2 linked regions of the Diceros bicornis minor genome follow. The protein of the gene in region 1 purifies or fractionates together with the protein of each later gene. This does not show direct contact. Links are inferred from orthologs where the notes say so. Each region holds a gene or a part of one and is shown on either strand. Other genes may lie near its edges.

Region 1 (6,898 bases):
TAATTAGAAATTGGTTAAATAAATATGGTACATCCATGGAAGAGAATATCATGTAGCTACTAAACGTTATGTTTTCAAACACCATTTAATGATATGAAAAAAACATATGTATTGTTAAGAGAAAACAGTATAGCTCAATTTTTGGAAAATAATACAAAAAGAGAAAAGTGAAAGGATATATGCTAAAATTTTAACAGTAGTTATAGACTATGAATAACTGTGTTTCTCTATGTTCCAACTTTTCTACACTAAATATTGGAAGTTCTTCCCTTCTTCTTCTTCTCCCCCTCCCCTTCCCCCTCCCCTTCCCCCTCCCCCTCCTCCTCCTCCTCCTCCTCCTCCTTCTTTTGCCACTTTTGTAATAAGAAAAGAGACATGTTAAAATAGATCAGTTTGTAGTAGAGTGAATACAAAACGTGTTGCACTCTACTTGTCTAGCTACAATTTCCTGCTGGTTGACTATCTGGAGATCTCAAGGGTCGGCTTTAGCTCAAGCCATTCCTTGGTCATGTTGGATTTCAGTATTTGGAGATCTGTGCTGGGATCCTTATCTGAAAAAGTCTTCCCGTTCAGAACTTAGCTTCACCGTACTCCCATATACCCGGAATAAAACTGGTTCTGGGAAGGTCTGGAGCGTGGACAGAGGAGGGAGGGAGGGAGGGGCCCTGGAAGGCAGGGACGGGATGGCTAATCCAAAGATTTTAGTACTTCGGACCGGTGGGTGCCGTGAAGCCTCGGGGCGTGAGCTCCTCTCCAGCTGGTACACCCACCTCCACTGTCACTTGTGTTCATTATCTAGTTCATGAGTTTTGTGAAGTCTACTTTTATAGACTTTGAGGGTGGGGAACTTGGACCAGATCCTCGATGTAAGGGAAAGCCAACTCCTGCCACCAACCACCCCCTCCCCAGGGGGAAAGAGAGGCAGGCGAGTATTTCCCCTTTGTCAGTCACCAGGGCAGGAATAGATTCCCACCACTGTAAAAAGCTCTGAAGGTTTTGATTGGCTCTTCGTGTGGGCCCAGTTGACTGCAACCAATCAGGAAAGAGGCTGTAAGAAATGTTTCTTCTTTCCACTGCTACCAACTCCCCATCACCATGCCCTCAGAAGTTGTGTTCTAAATGGAAAGAAGTGTGCAATGCTGAGTACAAAGGACGTAGCACACTGTCTCCCCTTTGTAACTTGGTTCAAGGGTTTCCCTTGAGTGCTAGCAGTACTAGGGTAAAGTTTTTTGACTCGAGATGTCTCTCTTCCACCTCTGCCTTCCAGGCTTAGCTCAATATCTCCTCCTCTAAGGCACCCCCATCTGGGTCCATCCCTTGCTCCTTGGGGCTCCTGTGGCCCTTAGGTGAAGCCCCTCGCAGCATCACCACACCTTGCCCAACAGTTACCAAGATTACCTTAGGTCACGTGGAGTTACAGGCAGCAGAAACCTTGGGATCAGGAGCTGGGATCTGGAATCAGAGACACCTAGTTTTGAGTGCTGAATTCCCGTCTCTTCCTAGCTTTGGGATAATGGCAGGATACTTCGCCTCTCTGAACTTTGATTTCCTCCTCTATTGAATGTGGATAATAGTGCCAACTCTAGACAGTTCATCAGAGAAGAAGGGATCAAGAAATGGCAGTAGTCAGAGTGATTACGGAAGGCAGACACTGTGTTTTATTCACTTTTGCTTTCCAACGGTGCCCAATTCGGAGCTTTACATGTAGGAAGAGCTTGCTAAATATTTAATATTATAGAATGAAGGTTAAAAAAGCTAATGTACTTTATGAAGAGGGTAAGAATTGATAGTTTCACCAGATTGCCTCCCCAAATGGCCCAAGGAAAGAAATAGTTATAATTGAACAACTGAATAGAAGACCCAGACTTAGGGCTTGTCTGTCCCTAGCTTTTAAAAAAAAAAATGTGGTAAAATATACACAACATGAAATGTATCATTTTGTGGGGGAAGAGGGAGAATCCCTCTGCCCCTTTCCTTAAGGTCCTTCTGGCTGGCCAAATAATTAACAAGACAGGTTAGCAGGAGAAAATAATACCAAGTTTAATAACATGTATACATGGGCGAAACCAGGGATGCTGAGTTTCTCAACACAATAGCAGAAATTCTCTTGTTAAATACCATCTTCAGCTAAAGACAAAGGAAGATGTTGGGGGTGAGGGGAGTCAGTTACGGGAGATTACCACTAAAGCACAGTAAACAAGAGTAAGGTTATTATGCATATTTAAGGCCTCACCTTCCACACTGATAAGTTTCTAGAAATGAGGTCATCCCCCCTCTTCCCAATACAGAGAGGGAGATACCTTTACAAATGGAGATTTCCCTTATAAATGTAAATGTTTGGCAACTCCTTGCAGGGCGATCTAGAGAATGTGGCCAGAGAGACAGAATTTTTGATAAGAAATGGGCTTGTTGGTGCCTTTCCTATTGTAACATCTATTTTACATTATATTACAGCCATCAGATAGAAAATCTGTTCCAGGAAGGACTTACTATGTCAAATTCTTCAGGCAGTTAGTTGGGGAGGTCAAATGTCCGTCAGAGAAAACAATCAAGGTAAAGAGATATATTTCAGGGTGGCCAAATCTTGATCTCCCACAATTTCAACCATTTTTAAGTGTACAGTTCGGTGACATTAAGAACATTCACCTTGTTGTGCAACCATCACCACTAGGGTTTGTCTTTTTTGTGTGTGTGTGTGAGGAAGATCAGCCCTGAGCTAACATCAGATGCCAATCCTCCTCTTTTTTTTTTTCTTGCTGAGGAAGATCAGCCCTGAGCTAACATCAGATGCCAAGCCTCCTCTTTTTTTTTTTCTTGCTGAGGAAGATTGGCCCTGAGCTAACATCCATCTTCCTCTACTTTATATGAGATGCTGCCGCAGCATGGCTTGACAAGCGGTGCATCTGTGCACGCCTGGATCCGAACCTGCCAACCGCGAGCCGCTGCAGCGCAGCATGCGCACTTGTGCCACAGGGGGCAGGGCTTGTCTTCCTTCAACACAGAAGTTCTCTGGATAATGCCTCGGATGTGGAAATGGCACTTTAATACATCTGTTAATAAAGCATAAATCTTACTTTTTTTCAGAGATAAAACCTCTTTCTAAGGTTCTGTACTTCTTCCTGGAGCTCTGCACATTTGAATTAGGTGAATTATGGTGTAGTGACTTAGAACTAAACTTGCTGGTTTAAATCTTGGCTTCCCCACTAGCTCACCGCGTGACCTTGGACAAACTACTTAAGCTTCTTTTCACATCCTAAAAGAGGCATTATAGTAAAAGTATTTATCTTAGAGACTTGGGGTGATTCAATGAGTAAATCATGCCTGGCACATGGTAGTTGTGAAAAAGCATTAGGTATTGTTTTTATTATTAGAAATAATGTCTTCCAAGTCTCTTTCCTGCTGGCCTGAATGTGCTGTGAGGGCAGATTTATCAGTTTTGTCTACTGTTAATGGAGTTCCTTGCAAATACCTCCAAACAGCCTTTTGGTCCCACTCCCCCTCCCTTTTTTGCCTTTAAAATGTTTTTTGTTGATTTGCACATGGCCTTATTTGAGAAAGGGTTAAGATGGCTGACCCCTATTTCATGAGCTTTTGGGGTTTTATTTTAAAGTTAAGTGCGTTTGGGGCAGGAGATGGTTAGGAAAATCAGCACTTCCTTTCTTGACCCGGCCCGAGGCTACAGCGCTCAGTGCCTTCCAGGCGTTGTGTAGGAGCTCTGGGCTTCTCCTGGAACATCTCCAGCTCCCCGCTGGGAAAGTTGTGAAACCGCCTTTAGGAGACGCTGTTGGTCAGGGTTATCCTAACCCCAGGGAAGGGGAGGGGAAAAGGCATAGGAGGTATTGATGACGTCAGCAGGAAACTAATACCAAATTACTCAGATCTAGTTTTCGCTTGTAGTCTCAAGTTCTCTTCCCGCGCAAATGGGAGCTTCCTTGGAACTTGGAGCACCCAGAAGTTTCTAATCTCTTTAAAGCTTTGTTTTCAGGCAATTTCCCCAAGAACCATTTACCTCCAGAGGATCGGTGGAATTTGATCTGAAGGTATGTAGTTAACTCTCTCCTGCTGGGTCTCCCTCTCTAGCCTTCTCCTTTGTTCAGGGCAGAGAAACTTGCAAAAACTCTTGTCAGCATCGGCACTGTTTCTGCCTGGATTGATTAGCCGTGCCAGGAAAAATGAAAGTTTAAAAAGCCCCAGGAAGGCTCCAACACAGCCTTTTACCGGCAGGAATATGCTAGTCCGAGAACGGAGTGCAGGCTTGCCAAAGCTGGAGATTGGAATCTTCAGGGAGCTACAAGGCAAATGCGTGATGCGTGAGAATAGGAACATGATTCCAGAAACCAATCATTCGGTTTCTACTCTCACAGGGCGGCTAGAGGGGAGATCTCAAGGATGATCACATTAAAATGGCATTTTTTTTTTAGTTTCTTTTTTCTAACAGTAAAAGTAATATATGTTCATTGCATAAAATTTGAGAAACTCAGACAGGAACCCAGAAGAAAATTCATATTATCTATAATCTTACCACCTAGATAGAATCACTCTTTGTTATTGATGTTTTGTTTCTTGCTATGTTCTCCTTCCTTTAGACAGTAGTTTCTTGTTTCTAAATAGCCAAGACTTGCATGGTGAATATATACCTCAAGTCATTATAGAATGAGTAATATTACATTGAAAAATTTTATCAATTTATTGCTCCTCTGATTAGAATGAAATTGAGTGTAGAAAATACCACAGTTTATGAACTGGTCAGGTGGAAATACCTACTTAGGTCATTTGTGACTTCCTGCATTGATCTGAGCAGCCCTTGTCTAAAACCGTTTCTCTCCGGGGTCTGGGATTGTGGCTTCTGATTATGAGAGACACAGGCCTGCCCCGTTATGGTTAGCAGTGTTATCTTGTTGTCCTTGGGTTGGTAGACACTTCAGAAATACAAGCCCCCAGATGGCTTTATTTCTAAAACGAAAGGCATAAATCTAAGTGCTGTTTCTGCCGTTTGGTGGGAATGAATCGAGAGCTCCAAGCGGGAGAAAGTGTGCTGTGTCATGCTCCCTTTTGACTAGCCCCCACCGGAGAAATCAGGGTAAACTGAGTTCCATAAACTCCAGACCTCCTAAAGGGTTAATGTACAAGTATTGGGGTTGAGTTTTCTGGGCTGTTGGTTTTTGAAGTAAGCTTGCAGTGATTTTTATTTTTCAGCTCTTCTAGCAAAGTCTAATGCCTGGAACAGAGGGAGCCTGAACTGGAGGAGGGCGTGGGAAGCTAGGGTGTTGTGTGTCCTCTCTCTCTAATGCCCCACCTCTCTGTCTCTCACAGGCTGGCCATGACATCTCAACCTCAAAGCCTGAGTTCCAGTATGGATGATAACTGTACAATGAACTTTCGAGGGAAGCTTCTGGCTATTGATTCAAACCTGGGGGATCAAGATGTGGAACGCTTGAAGTTTCTCTGCCGAGACTGTGTCTCCCACAAGAAGCTAGAGAAGTCCAGCTCAGCCTTGCATATTTTTGACCATCTCTTGACAGAGGAGCTGCTGAGTGAGGAAGACTCCTTCTTTCTGGCAGAGCTCCTGTATATCATCAAGCAGAAGTCACTGCTGCGGCACCTCTGCTACACCAAAGAGCAGGTGGAGAGCTTGCTGCCCGCCAGAAGGAGGGTTTCTCTGTTCAGGTGAGGGGGACTGTGGTCAAGACAGGAGGGCTTTCCATTTAGTGTTCGTTCAGGCACTGGGCTTTGGAAGGAGGCTGGGGTTAAGATTTTTTTCTTTTCTTTTATTTATTTATTTTTTTGGTGAGGAAAACTTGCCCTGAGCTAACATCTGTTGCCAATCTTCCCCTATTTTTTGTATGTGGGGTGCTGCCATAGCACGGCCTGTTGAGCGATGTGTATGTCCACGCCCGGGATCCGAACCTGCAAACCCTGGGCTGCCAAAGCAGAGCATGTGAAGTTAACCACTACGCCACTGGGCCAGCCCCAAGATCTTTTTCTTATCTACCTCCTTGGATGATACAGTGATTCTAAACCAGGAGTTCTGGCAGCTTTAGGTGCTAGTGAGATGAGAGGTTGGGAGGTCAGCAGAGCTTCAAAACCCAGCTCAGAGTTTGGGTGGCTTCCCTTTGTTTCGCTCCTCACTTCCTGAGGTTGCCCACAGGCTCCTCCTTCCCAGCCATCCTTCCTCCCGTGAGTCACTGTGTGTCCACCTATACTCAGCGACTTGAGAAGAGAGGCATGCATACTTGGAGCCAAATAAGTGAAATGAAGAAGGAGATGTGTCTCTGGGGTCGGGAGGGACATCGCTTACGCCATGTCCAGTTACGTTTTTGGGTGAAACCCAAAGAGATAAAATACAGGCATCAGGCCTCTCATGGGTCAGACCTTAGACAACACTGTCCTAAATTGTCCGCTGACGTGGTTTCTACATCAGAGAAGCTCACAAGGAGGAGCCTTCGTGTGTTCTCTTATGGCCTGTGCAATGAGAATCCTTCAGGCCGCAACGCTCAAACTGGCTCCCAGAACCTGAGCTACCCTTGGTCAGTGAGGGAATTCTGGAAATCGTTATCTCCACTCTGCTGGTTAAACACCCGAGGAATGGTCTCTGGCATGCAGAGGTGTTAGTGTGTGACGAAATACTCCGTTTTTCTGGTTGTCGATTATGTGACTGTCTAGAAGTTGGGGAGTTTCCTTCCTTTTCAACAGTGGACTTTAGCTGACTGGCACCAGGTCCTCTCTGACAAGGGCTTATAAAGTGAGCTGAATTTCTAGAATGGAGTTGGGGGGAGGGCGTGCCAAAATTGAGTTTTATGCCTTGCTGGTGTGATGCAAAACAACGCTGGACTTGGATCAGAAGGCCTGCCCCTGCTGCTTACTGTGTTATCTTAATTTAAGAGGCCACTTCAAGCTC
Region 2 (7,544 bases), on another chromosome or scaffold:
TGGGTTGATCTAGAGAAGATACTGTGGTAGGTAGACCTGACTCATCTGTTCACTTGACTTTTAATTACTAAAATGACTCCAGAGAGTGGGTGAAAGATGAGTAATTAGGTACCTGTTTCATCAGCCACATTCCACTGATTTTCAAGACTATTTTATTTTAGAAATCTTCCAGGGACTTTATTTTCTAACAAATATTTCTACTCTGCTTTTGTACATCTGAAATTTCTAACACATAGGGACTCGGATCCAGAACTAGGGAGCAGAGCATCCTAAGGATGGCTTCTACAAGAGCTTGCATTCTAGGGCCGTATGACTTGAGTCACCTGCAGCAGGCACATCTTGAGAAATTGGAACAGGCTCCCCTCACTGGTCACCAGTGCTGCCTTCTGCTTTCTTCCCAGTTTCTAAGGGCGAGATTTACCTATTGTCTTTGCAAAGGCATCTTGCTTGTCATCTTTGTTTCTCATTCCGTGGCCAACATAGAGAGATGAGAGTTTCCCTATTTCATGAGGCACCAGTCCATATACTAGAAAGCCTTGTCGGTGACAAGGCATCAGGGGCCTGTGTTCCTTCTAGCCCCAGTTCCACACCAGTGATCTTGGACATATCGCCTAATCTGTCTGGTATTTTGATTCTCTTCCGAAAAATGAGATTACTGGACCAGATGCTCTCTAAGCTCTCTTCCAACACTTGCCAAATCTAAAGCTCAATGAACTTAGTTTAATGACCTGGAGTATCCTAAATCTATCTGTTCACAATTTCCAAAACTATATCCTGAAACTTCGTGAGGTCACTGTTCAACATTTTCATCTTCTTCCTGTCTTGGATCTCATAGGAAGGATTTTCCTTTATTAGCAAAAGTAGCTCATGATTGCCCTTGTGGGTGAAACTGGACTACCCTTTGAATAAGGGCTAAAGTCTTCCCCCAAGCTTTCCAGTGACTGCAAAAGAACCATCCTAATGTGAATGACTGATTGCCCCTTCTTAAAAGCTTAGATATATCCTATAAAATATTTTTAGAATAAAGCTTGACTTTTAAGTAATCTCTTAGAGAGCTTAAAGAGGAGAGGACCTTTCCCAGAAACATATCTCTCTGCCCTGACCTCCCCCTCTCTACTGAGGAGTTATAGCCACTGGTTTGTATACAGGAACCAGAAGGTCTGAAGAAGGGGAGAGGCCTGGAGCCAGCTGCTCAGGGGACAAAGATCTAAAGTTGTACACGTGTGCCTTTTTCCAAAGTCAAGCAGAAATTATTTTGAATTGCGTGCAGTACTCAGCGACACTGATTTTGAACAATTAAATTCACTTCATATTTTAGGCCAGCTCAAGGAACAAAAATGACCAAAGATTCAGAATTAGCCAGGATACCTCTTGTAGTATACGTATGCCCAAGAACGAATTCAAGGCATTCCATCAACATGGTTCAGCTCTGAAGACTATCTTTGGAAACTCAATATACATGCATAAAAAGACTCACCTATTTGCTTCTCCAAAGATGATGGTATATGCCTTTGGCTGGTAGACTGGCAAAAGAGAAAAAGAAAAGATGTATAATAAATATGAAGTTCTTAAAGCAAAGAAGGCAGAATTGTCAAATAAACCAAGCCCTGGAAAGGGAATCTAAGTACCTCAGAATCTCTCCTACCTTAGACTTTGGCCAAGCAATTGTGCCTCACCCTGCCTCAGTTTTGTGACTTGGAATAGTTCTGATATTTTTAGGTATTTTCAAGGAAATCTAGTTTGGCCATTTGAACACATTCACTTCTAAGCGAGACTCAAAACTTCCTTGTCTCCTCAATCACTAAGCCTGAGGTAGGCAGTGGCTCAGCGGGCTGACGTGCCAAGTGAGAAAGGGAGAACTGTAAGTGCCAGTCCTATTTTGGCCCTTATTCTTTACCAGATAGAAAATACTCTTTTCACTCATTTGAGCCTCCATTTCTCTGCCTATAGAATAGAATGACTGGGATGATCCATTTCTAAGAAAAAAGGATCAAAAGTACTTTGCAAGCAAGACCGTGGTCCCGGTGGACCATGGTAGCCCTACACCCTCCCCTGCAGCAGAGCTGTCTCCCGCCCGTGCCTCCAGGGCACAGCAGTCCCCACGCCCATGCTGGCTCACCTCTCGGAGTTCGGCCAGCTCCTTCTGTAGGTGGAAGAGCTGAAACATCCCCAGCCCCAGTCCAACCAGGGCCACTAGAACCATGAAAAACATCACGAGGAGACACAGGCCCGTGTTGTGGTCCCTCCTCTTCTTCGGAGGTGGCCGTGGTAGTGGAGGCAGTGGTGGCCGTGGTGGTGGCGGTGGTGGTAGTGTTGTTGGGGGCGGTGGTGGTGGTCTCCTTTGCCCTGGCCTTCCTGGCACAGAGGATGGGCAGGGGAGTACTGACCCTGGAGAGGCCCAGGGAGAGCTGGCACTGCTGTCCACCCAGTAGATTTGGGGGTACGAGTAATTCAGGTGCTGCTGCATGGCAGCCAGTGACTCAGGCCAGCCCCCAGCAAAGGATTTTCCTTCTTCTCAATCCTGTGGAGGCCCAGGTGGCTAGGAGTTGCCGACTGTTGGAGAGAAGAGAAGCAGGTTCTCTCTTTATAGAGTTTCCATAGCCAAGGGAAACACCTCTCTCTCGTTCTCTCTCTTTCTCTCTTTTTGCTTCTCAGAGAGACACCCACTCACTCTGCATCTGAAGCTGAGAAGCCTCAAGAAGCTCAGAGTGAACCTCGGGAAGTTTCCGCCCACAATTTTCTGATGAAAGCCTTCAAAGTGCCCTGCTACCTGAAAGGCTGGTAGGGTAGGCTCGTCTTTCTCAGGCCCTGCGAGAGCAGGTAGCACTGGGTGCAGCCCTGTGGGCTTTGACCACTGCCCAGCCACAGGGACAGTGACCAGAGGGGGCGTGTTCAGGCACTGAGGGGCGAGACCATGGAGTTGTGGCCAGAGGAGTCGCGTCCACGTCTTACCTTTTGCATGAGGGAATCATCCCCTGCTGCCACCCCTTCCCCACGCCGAAGTGCTCTTCACCCTGACATTGCACAGCACTGTAATTTACAGGTTAAAAACCTGCCCCACCCACTCTCTAGAGATTAGATCAGAGGTTACAAGCCAGTGGCCCGTATGCCTTGTGGAACCCACAGACCTGCTTTGTTTGTGCCTCACGATGTTTTTTCTTTTCATTGGTTGTCCCTTTTTAAAATTGGCATATTCCAAATAAAGATATATATACTTCTATTCTGTTTTGAAACATTAGAATGTTGGACATCTCAAGGCCATCTCTGCAAACCCCGTCAGCTGGAGCTGGGCAGCAGCTGCCCCATGGATGAGACATAGGTGCTGCAGGTTGCCCAGCCTGCATCACCCTCCACTGGTCCACACACCATCGGCCACATGAAGTGGCCTTCCCGGTCCCTCTGGGCATTTCTGTTTGCAGCCTCTGTTACGGTTGTTGGATGAAATACATGGTGCCTAGTTAAATTTGAATTTCAGATAACCATTAAATAATTTTTAGGATAACTATGCGCTAAACATTAAATGGAATATACCAAAAAAGTCTTCGTTGTTTATCTGAAGTTCAAATTTAACTGTTTGTCCTATTTGTTTGTTTGCTTTTTACTAAAGATGGCAACTCTACTTGGACTGACGTCATCCTTTTCTCTGACTTCAAATACCATTTATATGCCAATAACTTCCTAGAGCTCAGCTCCAGTCCCAAGCATTCTCCCATACAAACCGTATAAACCTCCCATAAATCTCTATTTTCCGCTTTATTGGAGGACTCTACTTTTCGAATTCCATTAGTTTCTATTCCATGCTTTGGCATTACTGCGGCTATCATCCCGGCTCTCCACTGGACCAAACATCAAACTTCTTTTCCTGCCACATTCTGCCCACCCCGCACCCATCTGCCCACCCCACTCCATTCCCACTCCCAATGTAACCTTAGCACGACACACAGGCTCTTTACAGCCAGACCCCAACAGCGAGCTCTGTCTCCTCTCCAGGCACTTCTGCCCACATCCCCCTCTCCATTCACGAGACAGTGTGACAGATGAGACCAGAATGACTGCACAAGGTTCTTACTGTCTTTTAGAGGTGGGCAGGTTTAATGTGCTTTTGAACTCATGTACGGTTTTATTCATAGTTATGAAAAATGGTAAGTTTAAAGTTCATAAGTTGGAGGCCGGCCCAGCGGTATAATGGTTAAGTTGGGACGCTCCGCTTCTGGCAGCCTGGGGTTCACAGGTTCGGATCCTGAGCGCAGACCTGCTCTCTGCTCATCAAGCCATGCTGAGGTGGCATCCCACATAGAAGAACTAGAACAACCTACAACTAGGATATACAACTATGTACTGGGGCTTTGGGAAGGAAAAAAATAAAAAGAGGAAGATTGGCAACAGATGTTAGCTCAGGGCCAATCTTTCTCAAAAAAAGAAAGAAAAGAGAAGAAAAACCCTTAAAATATCCTGAAAATACTCTAACAAAAATTATATAGAATCATATTTTTAAAATTATAAAAATTTTACTGAAAATAGCAAAGATTCAAATAAGTGGAAAAATACCCCACATCCTGGATGGGGAGGATGGAAAGTGTTGAGCGATGGTTAGGGGTATTAGATGGTTCTGGAGTTAAACTGCCTGCGGTCAAGTCCCAGTTCTTCCACTTGTTAGCTCTGTGACCTGGACAGGCCACTTTCTCTCCTCTGTGCCACAGTTTTCTCCTCTATAAAAATGGGCATGATCATAATAGTATCTATTTCAGACAGCCCTGTGAGGATTAAATGACTCAAAGCATTTGATACGCTTAAAATAGACTCTAGCATCAAAGCAAGCACTCAACAAACTTTATTGTTGTTGTCGTAAATGTAGTGAATCTTCCCACATATAATTCATCTCTAGACCAAATGTAATTGACCTTCTTCCATTAAGGCTACAACAAGGTGGAGAGCGGGAGAGAGGTTTCTGGGGAAAGTACAAAATTGATGCCTGACACCCAGCATCCTCAGAGATTCTAGCAGTGAACTGATGGACTGAAGGGCCCTCTGTTTCAGGCTAAGACCTCCCTGCTTTTCTGTCTCAAACTGCCACAGAATCTTTCAGCATTTTTTAATAAGAATTATTCTGTATTTTCACGTCTCTCTCTCTGCCCTGCTTCTTCTCTTGATTCATTCTGTGATAGGAGGAATCAGAATCTTAATACCTGCCCCCAGCCCACCCAGGACCCTCCAATCACAGGGAGAGTCTGAACTGGAATAGAGACAAAGAGAGCCACCTTTAAACACTGGAATCGCTCTGTGATGATGCCACCAAACATCACAAGTTGGCAAGATCATGGAAAAATAACCACCACTGCAGACAATAACAGGGACCTATCACAATTTGGGGTACTACCAGCACCTTGTTAATTAGCAGAAATAATCTTTTCAAAGTGTCTCTTAGAAGCTCTGTGATTGCTGAAGAAAAAAATATATATATTCGCCTTCGAGAGATGCACTGAACAGATAAACTAAAGAGCCAGCGGGCTGGCAGCTTCCACACATGGAAAACCCAAGTTGAAGAGCTTCGGTCATCTTCACCGTATCCCCCTTACTTGAGCCTGCATCTCTGGTTCTGCAACCAGGTTCCTTGAGGATGGACAGCAGAGAGAGAGTCAGAGCTGGCGATTTCTTTCAGGAGGAGGGATAGGATTGCCAGTCACAGAGATTTAAAGATAATGGGTGAGACTTGGGAGCACATTTAAGTGCAGGACCAAATCAGAGAAACTTCCTTGTGCAAGTTGTTAGAATTTTTAAAGTATCTTTCATCTATTTCATTAGATGAAATTTTAAATTGTCTTTAATTATGGTCCCTCTAGCATTGTAATTCCCTTCAGAAATTGTCCTGACCCTTTAGTAAAAGGATTCAAGTGTGCTTCCCCAGTTTAGTGTGTTAGTCTTGTGGAATTTAAAAGGACAGAGTGGTAAGGAAAAGGGCCACCTATTTCTTCCCACCCATCCAGTGTCTTAGCAGGGAAGTTAACTCAGTGGGCCGGAGCCCAGAGCTCTAGCCGTGACTGGGCAGGAGCGTAGAATGGTGCATGATGAAAATAGCAGCTGATCATCCCCAGAGGTGAGCAAAGGCCCCAGTGCACTCTTAACTGGAGTCTGTTCACAAACATGTACCCTACACATTTAATGTCACTAAGTACCTCCAGGCTGCTCGTCACAGTGGCTGAATCTATTGACACCAACACCAACATGACTATCTTATCCCATGTCTTCATCTCTACTTGGTATTATTCATCTTTCTAATTTTTACCAAGCATTAGGGTTATAAAGTTGTATCTCGTCTATTAGTTTTCCTTTTTCTGATTTCTTTTGAGGTTGAATATCTCGTCATATACTTGTTAGACCTTCACATTTTCCCTTTTGTGTATATTTCCTGTTCATACACCATGTCCATCTTTTAACTGGGTTTCTTATTTCTCTTGGGCTGATTCCCAGGGTTTCCTCGTACCTTATATCCTAGATATTAATCCATTGTTGCTTTTAGACATTGCAAGTAAATTCTCCCACACCACCACAAATTTCATATTTAGGCTTTAATCTGTCTGGAGTTCGCGTTTGTGTGTGATGTGAAATAAGTCCATCTTTGTTTTTCTCCACATATGAACCAGTTTTCCCAACACGAGCCATCTTTTCCCCCACTGAATTACAGCAGTATATTTATCATATATCAAGTTTACATATTCTTTCTTAGATAAATTGCTTGATACTTTGTAATTTTGTTATGCTTATAAGTAGTGCCTTATTTTCTGTGGTATTTTTAGATGAGTAGTCTATAAGATGACCTAATGATCCCCTATCTCCTGGTATTCATGCCCTTTATAATGGCCTTCTCTTGAGTGTGGGCTAGACTTATTGACTCACTTCTAACGAATAGAATATAGCAGAAGTGATGAGATAGTGCTTCTAAGACTAACTTATAAAAAGACTGTGGTTTGCATATTGCAGATAGCACTTCTCATTGTATCCTCATATGATGGAACCAGAGAGAGGAAGCAAGCTCTCTCATGACTCTCATAAGAGCACTAATCCCATTCATAAGGGCTCCACCTTTATGACTGCATCTAATCCTAATTTCTTCCCAAAGGCCCCATCTTCTAATACCATCATGTTAGAATGTAGAGTTTTGACATATGAATTTGGAAGGGACACAAACATTTAGTCTATAACACCCAGCTAAGCCAAGCTTGAATTCCTGATCCATAGAAATTGTGAGGTAATAAATATTTGTTATTTTAAACCACTACATTTTGGAGTCATTTGTTATCCAGCAATAGATAGCTAATACAGATGGCTATTACTGGTTTAGGTAAATACTCCTTATTTTGTAATAAATAATCTAGAATCTTGCAAATTGCGGAACTCTGTTTTTACTTCTGATAGTGTGTCTATTGATTTCTGTTGCTTTTTTTCTATATAGATATATATTATGGATAATATATATTTATAACGATAATTTTTAATCTTCCCTTCCAATCCTTATATTATTTTTCTTTTCTTTTTGTATTGTCCCA

What was found.
Region 2: the proteins of CASP10 (region 1) and FASLG purify together in Homo sapiens (co-immunoprecipitation; 3 studies listed by BioGRID and IntAct, with this or other methods). This does not show direct contact. The link is inferred for Diceros bicornis minor from reciprocal best matches to the Homo sapiens genes CASP10 and FASLG.

Annotation. Positions count from the first base shown.
Region 1 is NC_080749.1:79,073,408-79,080,305, forward strand, and holds the start of CASP10 (caspase-10), read left to right. Parts: upstream 1-3,893; 5' UTR 3,894-4,040; intron 4,041-5,313; 5' UTR 5,314-5,320; coding exon 5,321-5,667; intron 5,668-6,898. UniProt on the Homo sapiens protein: Involved in the activation cascade of caspases responsible for apoptosis execution. Recruited to both Fas- and TNFR-1 receptors in a FADD dependent manner. May participate in the granzyme B apoptotic pathways.
Region 2 is NC_080743.1:93,508,490-93,516,033, forward strand, and holds the start of FASLG (tumor necrosis factor ligand superfamily member 6), read right to left. Parts: upstream 3,004-7,544; 5' UTR 2,953-3,003; intron 2,554-2,952; 5' UTR 2,468-2,553; coding exon 2,120-2,467; intron 1,524-2,119; coding exon 1,478-1,523; intron 1-1,477. UniProt on the Homo sapiens protein: Cytokine that binds to TNFRSF6/FAS, a receptor that transduces the apoptotic signal into cells. Involved in cytotoxic T-cell-mediated apoptosis, natural killer cell-mediated apoptosis and in T-cell development.